Ovis aries: one gene and its partner. The protein of the gene in region 2 binds, or shares a complex with, the protein of the main gene of each other region. Links are inferred from orthologs where the notes say so. Each region holds a gene or a part of one and is shown on either strand. Other genes may lie near its edges.

Region 1 (3,653 bases), on a different chromosome or scaffold from region 2:
CGACAGTCTCTTCTGTCATTTGGTGGACGAGGTGCTTTTGTTTGAAAGAGAACTACACAGCGTTCATGGCTATCCTAGCACTTTTGCTAATTGTATGCATATTCTATCAGAGGAGACCTGTTTTCAGAGATGGTTGACTGTGGAGAGAAAATGTAAGTGCTCATATGCCTGTAGGCTGGGGAGAGGTATCTCTTATTGTGAATACAAAATTTTAGGTGTTATTCTTCTCCATTTCTGGGTAGAAACTAGTGTCATCTAAATTTTTCTCGGTTGAGGTTTATCAAGTTGCCTTCAGAGATTATCTTCTTTTCTTCCCATCAAGCTTCAGTTTTTCCCAGAATTGTACTCTATGTATTTCTAGGATAGAATATTCAAGCCAGGGACTTCTCTGGTGCTCCAGTGGCTAAGACTTGTGCTCCCAATACAGGGGGACTAGGTTTGTTCCTCAGGGAACCAGGTCCCACATGCTGCAACTCGGAGTTTCCTTGCTGCAGCTAAAGATGCTGCATGCGCAACTAAAAAGATACTGAGTGCCACAACTAAGACCTGGCACAGCCAAATAAATACAGCTATTTTTTTTAAAGTTTAACCCAGTAGCGTTAACTGTTTTATGGATTTTACATATAGTATTTCTGCTCTTATGGAATCATTCTGGATGTGGCTTTTCTAGTCACTGAAGATTTTTTTGAAGATATTTTGAAGATTCTGGGTAGGTGTGGGCAGAGGTAAAAGATCTTACTTAACCTTAAAACAGAGCATGTTACATATAATGCACCTAGTAGGAGGGTGTAGATTTATTTTTTTATAGAAAAATAATAATTCCTAAGAAACTATGAGTTGAAAGATTAGGAATTACAATCTGTAACTACTTGTTTGACATGATCTTTCTTGTGTGCCAGTTGCTCTTCAAAAAATGGACTCAATGCTCTCGTCAGAAGCTGCCTGGATATCCCAATATAAGGACATCACTGATGTGGATGAGATGAAAGTCCCAGACTGTGCAGAAACGTTTATGACACTACTCTTGGTTATAACTGGCAAGTATAGTCTTAAAGATATAACTTTTTTTTTTTAGAAGTACTGACTCTTAACAGACTTGTGGTTATCAAGGGGGAAGGGGAATGGTGGTGGGATAGAGTCCATTAGGTGATAAACCATAATGGGAAAGAATATGAAAAAGAATATATATATATGTATAACTGAGTCACTTTGCTATATAGCAGAAATTGAACACAACATTGTAAATCAACTCTACTTCACTAAAATTTTAAAAATTAAATAAAAGTACTACTGATTCTTCACTCAGTATTTTTGAAGTAGTTTGACAAAATACCATAAAGTGGTTATTGTAGTATCTTCAAATTCAATTTCTATTTTGGTCAAACTCTAGCACAGTAGTTTAGCTTTTGGATTTTTTGTAATTTAAGTAAGACCTTAAACATTAGTTTACATGAGGGGAAAATTCCTCAGTTGTTACATAAAAACAAATAATTTAATTTTCTTCCCTGAATTCCCTTGTCTTTCAACTTTTCAAGTATCTTCAGTAAATGGTGATTGACCCAAATTTTAAATATTATTTTCTTCACCTTGTTATATCAGAGTTTATAGAACAGTAAAATAATAAAGTAACTTTAAGGACAAGAATGGGGGTTTCCCTGGTGGTTCAGATGGTAAAAAGTCTGCCTGCAATCCAGGAGACCTGGGTTCAGTCCCTGGGTCGGGAAGATCCCCTGGAGAAGGCAAAGATCGGAATGGTAACAGGAACTTCTATGTTCCAAGAATGTTCTGTCTGGAGGGTGGCCCGGGCCCAGCCCTGGTTGGTCTGTTCCTGTCCATGTTGCCCCTAGGGCACTGCAGACCTGCTGGTTCTCCAGGGCTACTGAGCTGTCACTGCCATGGTCCTTCTGTGTCTTGTCCATTTCTTGGGCCTGTGTGGTAACCTGAAGAGGTGTCATTCCAGCCCAGTCAGTAAATAATGCTGTATTCTTTAAGAAAAATATGAAAAACACTAAAATACAAAAATATTTAGCAAAACTGATTTAAAAATCTTTTATTATGGAAATTTCTCATATATATATAAAAGCAGCATAACGAACCCTCAGGTTATCTGTTCCTAAGGTTTAAAACTATTGCTTTTCTATTATGTATTTCCCCCCCCAAAATACAGACTTTTTTCCTGAAGTATTTTAAACATCTTTTCACCTATAAATCTTTAGCTACGTGTTTCTTTTAACCTATCCTAGTTCCTCCTTCCTTTTTTAAAAAATGTCATTTGTTGAAGAAGTGGAATAATTTTTGTATACGATTTTCTCATATGCCTTTAAAAAATTGAGGCATAACTTTTAAAATAAAGCACAGTTGATTTACAACATTGTGTTAGAGGCATAACTTATATACAGTGAAATGCATAGATCATCAGTATATAGATCAATGAGTTTTGACAGTACTTGTGAAACACACATCCTTAGGGAGTTTAGAAATGGATCCATACTTGAATGGTTGGTTGATTTTTGACAAAGCCATCAAAGCTAGCCAATAGGAAAACCCTATACCATAACCTTTAACATGCCGTGTGTGCTAAGTCGCTTCAGTCATGTCCAACTCTTTGCGACCCTATGGACTGTAGCCAGCCAGGCTCCTCTGTCCTTGGAATTCTCCAGGCAAGCCGGAGTGGGTTTCTATGCCATCCTCAAGGGGATCTTCCCAATCCAGGGACTGAACCCATGTCTCTTACATCTCCTGTATTGGCAGGCGAATTCTTTACCACTAGCACCAGCTGGGAAGCCCATAAACCTTCACATGTCTTGTTAATTTTCTCCACAGACAGGTATAAAAATCTTCCCACAGCTTCCAGAAAGTTGCAGTTCCTGGAGTTACAGAAGGACTTAGTAGATGATTTTAGGATACGATTAACTCAGGTGATGAAAGAAGAGACTAGAGCTTCCCTTGGCTTTCGGTACTGTGCAATTCTTAATGCCGTGAACTATATCTCAACAGTGCTAGCAGACTGGGCTGACAATGTTGTAAGTTAATCTTTTATATTAAGTAATATATTAGTAATTTGAACAGTTTTACCTTTTGAAATGTTGAATCTGTAGCAAGCAGAAATAACACACGTTAGACAGAATCAAAACTGGGCCAAACTTAGGAGGTATGATTACAGTACATATTTTTCTCATCTAAGTCTCATATAGTTAAATCATCCTGATATTTTAATCATTGGAAAAGAAAGCCATCCTTTCATGAAATTGTAGTTTATAAAGTAAACCTTTCCCTTATAGATTTTAAACTTGGGAAATATGTTGAATGGTAATTGCAATCTCAGAAAAAGCTAAGCTTATATAATGATGTCAAAATCAATAAAATTCAGAACTTTAAGGAACATAACATTTGATAGCTCTTAAAAGTGAAAGTGTTAGTCACTCAGTCATGTCCCACTCTTTGTGACCCTGTGGACTGCAGCCTGCCAGGCTCCTCTATCCATGGAATTCTTCAGGCAAGAATACTGGAGTGGGTTGCCATTCCCTTCTCCAGGGGATCTTCCTGATCCGGGGATCAAACCCATGTCTCCTGCATCATAGGTGGATTCTTTACTGTCTGAGCCACCAGGAAAGTCCCTATTGAGTGCCTTCAAACATGACAAATTATGAAGA
Region 2 (3,653 bases):
GTTAGAAGAGATGAAGGTGTTGTTAATGGGACCAGTGGTATGAGCAAATTAAAGGAAAAGGATCTTGACTCAGAAGGCCGGTGACTAATCTGTTTTATTCATTGCTATATTTTCATGGCACACAGATGGTACTCAGTAAATATTATTTCTTGGATGCATAAATGGGCTCTGTAAGTAAACCAGCCTGTTGAATGTGATATTCCATGATAGTGGACACTGGGGCCTATGATTAGATATATTGATTTGGGCTCAAGTGGGAAACCTTGCCAAGGTGTTAAGTGTTAATGACATGGACTGGTATAGAGGCCACAGACATGGAGAGGGGGATGTGAATTCAGAGACTCCAGAGGAAAGAACTGATATGAGGGAATATGTAAAGGAACATAGAGGGTATGAGCCAGATTTTACTCTAAATTTGTATCCACAAAGACTCTAGGAAGAGAGCAAGTCAGGGATTTCGAATGGAGTCAGAGAAAGCTGTTGGAGGGAAGACTGGCCCTTGGTCTTCCCAGAGAACAGCATGGCATGATTCTTCATGACTGAATCATCGTCTGTGCTTTGGGGTACAGCTCCTGGCCAAGTAAATACAGAACCTTGATACATGAAACAAAACGTTAGTTAAACAAGGTTAAGCATGTTTGTCATAGTAGGATAAATCTTGTCTTTTTTATTTTCTATTCTTTCATACAGCCCAAATGCAAACTAAAGAACAACTGAAAATTTTGGGAAGATCTATGTTTCCCAAAAAAAGTCATCTGAGCTTTGTGTTTCAGTGTGTTTCATTAGAAGAAGGAAAGCAGGTGGAATCATATTCCCTATATTCAGTCCTAATCACCATTAGGAAAAAAAAGATTTTTAATGGTGAGGTGCTCCAGCAGCTGCCTGTGGCTATGCTCTTAGGTAGCTAGCTGTGATTCTGGAAGGCAGTTCTCAGGTGCTATCAGATGTCATGGGTTCTTTAATGCCTCTGTTTTTCATTTTCTCTGTATCCAGAGTAAAATAAAGAAACGATCCTGGGTTCTTCATGAGTGTTTGGAAAGAGTTCCTGAAAATGTGGATGCCGCCAAGGAACTGCTTCAATATGGATTAAAAGGCACAGACCTGGAGGCTCTTTTAGCCATAGGGAAAGGAGCAGATGATGGCAGGTTGGTTACAGAAAGATTTGGATTCAAAAGTGAAGGTGACTTTTTGAAAACTTTTTAAACTGAGACATTGGAAAGGGTCAACTTTCTTTATTTAGGTTACTCTGCAATGGAGCAGTTGGTTTGACTAATGCTTTTTTTTAATCTGAGATCACAGTTTTTTTTCTTCTGAGTGAAATATGTTTACATATGATAACTTGATGCTAAGAAAAGAGCAAATTCTACAAACATTTATTGAATGCTTGCAGTGTCTAAGCTGTGGATTTAAGGTGATGCATACCTGGGCATGCTTACTGGTCAAATGAACCACTGTAGGCAAGCCTGAGTTTCATTCACTTTCTTCATCTGTATCGTTGTATCCTTCCTCAGAGCATTATCTTGATTAAATTATTTATCTTGTGAAACTGCCTCATAAACTTTTAAGCACCATACAAATGTCAGTTAATAATAAAGTTATTTGACAGGGGCTGCTGTTCATCAGACATTTGGAACATTATATACATGGTATATAAACGTGATGGTGTGTTGATAAGTAATTTAAATGAAACCAACTTTCATTACCATTTTAAGACCTTCAATAGAAGTGGTTCACATTATAAATTTTGGGCAACATTTTCTTCATAGGCTGTTTTACATTGCATCACTGTAACCTCCCATGTTTTCCTAAGCAGCTTTCATTTTCTTGGTATTCAGAGTTCCTACGTGTGATGATTACTGATGACTTCTTGCCCACCCCATGGATATAAATGAGAGAATCACTTTGGTTATAACATGGCCAAAGCTTTCTTTTAAATGGTTGGTTGTTTCTGTTTCTGCAGAAACCAACTTAATAAAATCAAAGTAGGGAAAAGTACTTCTTCACTATATGAAATATATATATAAAGAAAACATACTCCAAGGAAATTTGACTTTTTTTTTTTTTCCACAGATTTACACTCCCTGGTGAGGTGGACATTGACAGTATCTCCTACGAGGAACTTTCCCCACCTGAAGAAGAACCTGCCGAGAAGAAAAAGGAGAAGGAGCTCAAAAAGAGACGAGAACTACTTAAATTAGTGAACTTTTCAAAGTAAATGATATATTACTGTTCATTTGGTAATTTTTTTAAAATAGTGATCTGAGTGTGTTCCTTACTAGTGATAATTGCTCTACATTATTTCAGCAACTCAAGTCAAATGCATTTAGTAGTATTGTAGCCCTGTGCTTCTGTGCATTGTCCTATGAGTATGGGGCTTAATAGAATATTGATCATTTTTATTCTATTTTAGATCTTAGAGAAATGTGCTTGCAGGTAAATATAAGTGGCCTAATATAGTTTTTCAAAACAGGTTAACGCTGGAACAAAAGGAACTTTGCCGTTGTAGACTGAAATTATTAACCTACTTAGATCGGCTTGCAACATACGAGGTAAAGGGTAGTTTTAATCAAAGCAATTATGTTCGTTTGATCTGTCATTGCACATGCTGTGCCTGCCTATGCTGTGGGATATTCCTGGTCTTTAGAACTATTTATGTGGGAAAAATTTGCGCAGAAGCATGTTCTTTTGTATATCATTTTTGCTAAACATTAGGGATTCGTAAGGGGCCAGAAGTTGCTTTGTAGAAGCAACTTTGATCCCTGCTTCCCAACCCAGGGATCGAACTTGGGTCTCCTGCATTGAAGGTCAACTCTTTACTATCTAAGTCATCAGGAAAACCCTTCAAAAGGTGAGAAATTTATACTAAATCCTGGGAAACTTGAACGATGAGGGTCACATGAAAAGCAATCTAAACTATGTATATTTTATGAAATGCTTCTCACACCTTTATCAAATCTGACAGAACAGGGCACTATTGAAATGTCCAAATGGGACATTTGTGTTTGCTGCCCTGAAGAAACAATTTTGAAGTTTGCTCTAAGTTCAAGTGTCTAAATTTGGCCATCGTTAGGATCAAAGTTTCTGCTGTAGAAGCAGTAGAAATGTGTGCATTATTTCAGCATCTGTGTTTCCTAGATTTACAATCCTTTTCATTTATTTTTATTTTACATTTAAACTTTTGGTTATGGTAGATAGCTGTCTATAGTAGCAAATTCAGTATCCACTGGAGTTTAGTAATATGAATATTCTGACTTGCTTTATTTTAATGATTTATTAATGTCTTGAATTTAGTTGGCTAGACTTTGATTCTAATGATGGCCAAAATTAGACACTTGAACTTAGAGCAAACTGCAAAATTGTTTCTTCAGGGCAGCAAACACAAACGTCCCATTTGGACATTTCAGTAGTGCCTTGTCCTATCAGATTTGATAAAGGTGTGAGAAGCATTTCATAAAATACACATAGTTTAGATTGTTTTTCATGTGACCCTTATCATGTGACCCCAGGATTTAGTATAAATTTCTCACCTTTTGAAGGGCTTCCCTGGTGACGCAGATGGTAAAGAGTTGACCTTCAATGCAGGAGACCCAAGTTTGATCCCTGGGTTGGGAAGATCTCCTGGAGAAGGGAGTGGCTGCTTACTCCAGTATTCT

The links. The genes of interacting proteins can lie anywhere in the genome.
Region 1: NBAS (region 2) and RINT1 share a complex: the UniProt entries of both Homo sapiens proteins name them as parts of the NRZ complex. The link is inferred for Ovis aries from reciprocal best matches to the Homo sapiens genes NBAS and RINT1.

What each region holds. Positions count from the first base shown.
Region 1 is NC_056057.1:48,169,197-48,172,849, forward strand, and holds part of RINT1 (RAD50-interacting protein 1), read left to right. Parts: coding exon 1-152; intron 153-899; coding exon 900-1,041; intron 1,042-2,823; coding exon of another isoform or gene 2,824-2,827; coding exon 2,828-3,023; intron 3,024-3,653. UniProt on the Homo sapiens protein: Involved in regulation of membrane traffic between the Golgi and the endoplasmic reticulum (ER); the function is proposed to depend on its association in the NRZ complex which is believed to play a role in SNARE assembly at the ER.
Region 2 is NC_056056.1:23,857,097-23,860,749, reverse strand, and holds part of NBAS (NBAS subunit of NRZ tethering complex), read left to right. Parts: intron 1-993; coding exon 994-1,145; intron 1,146-2,070; coding exon 2,071-2,211; intron 2,212-2,470; coding exon 2,471-2,549; intron 2,550-3,653. UniProt on the Homo sapiens protein: Involved in Golgi-to-endoplasmic reticulum (ER) retrograde transport; the function is proposed to depend on its association in the NRZ complex which is believed to play a role in SNARE assembly at the ER. Required for normal embryonic development.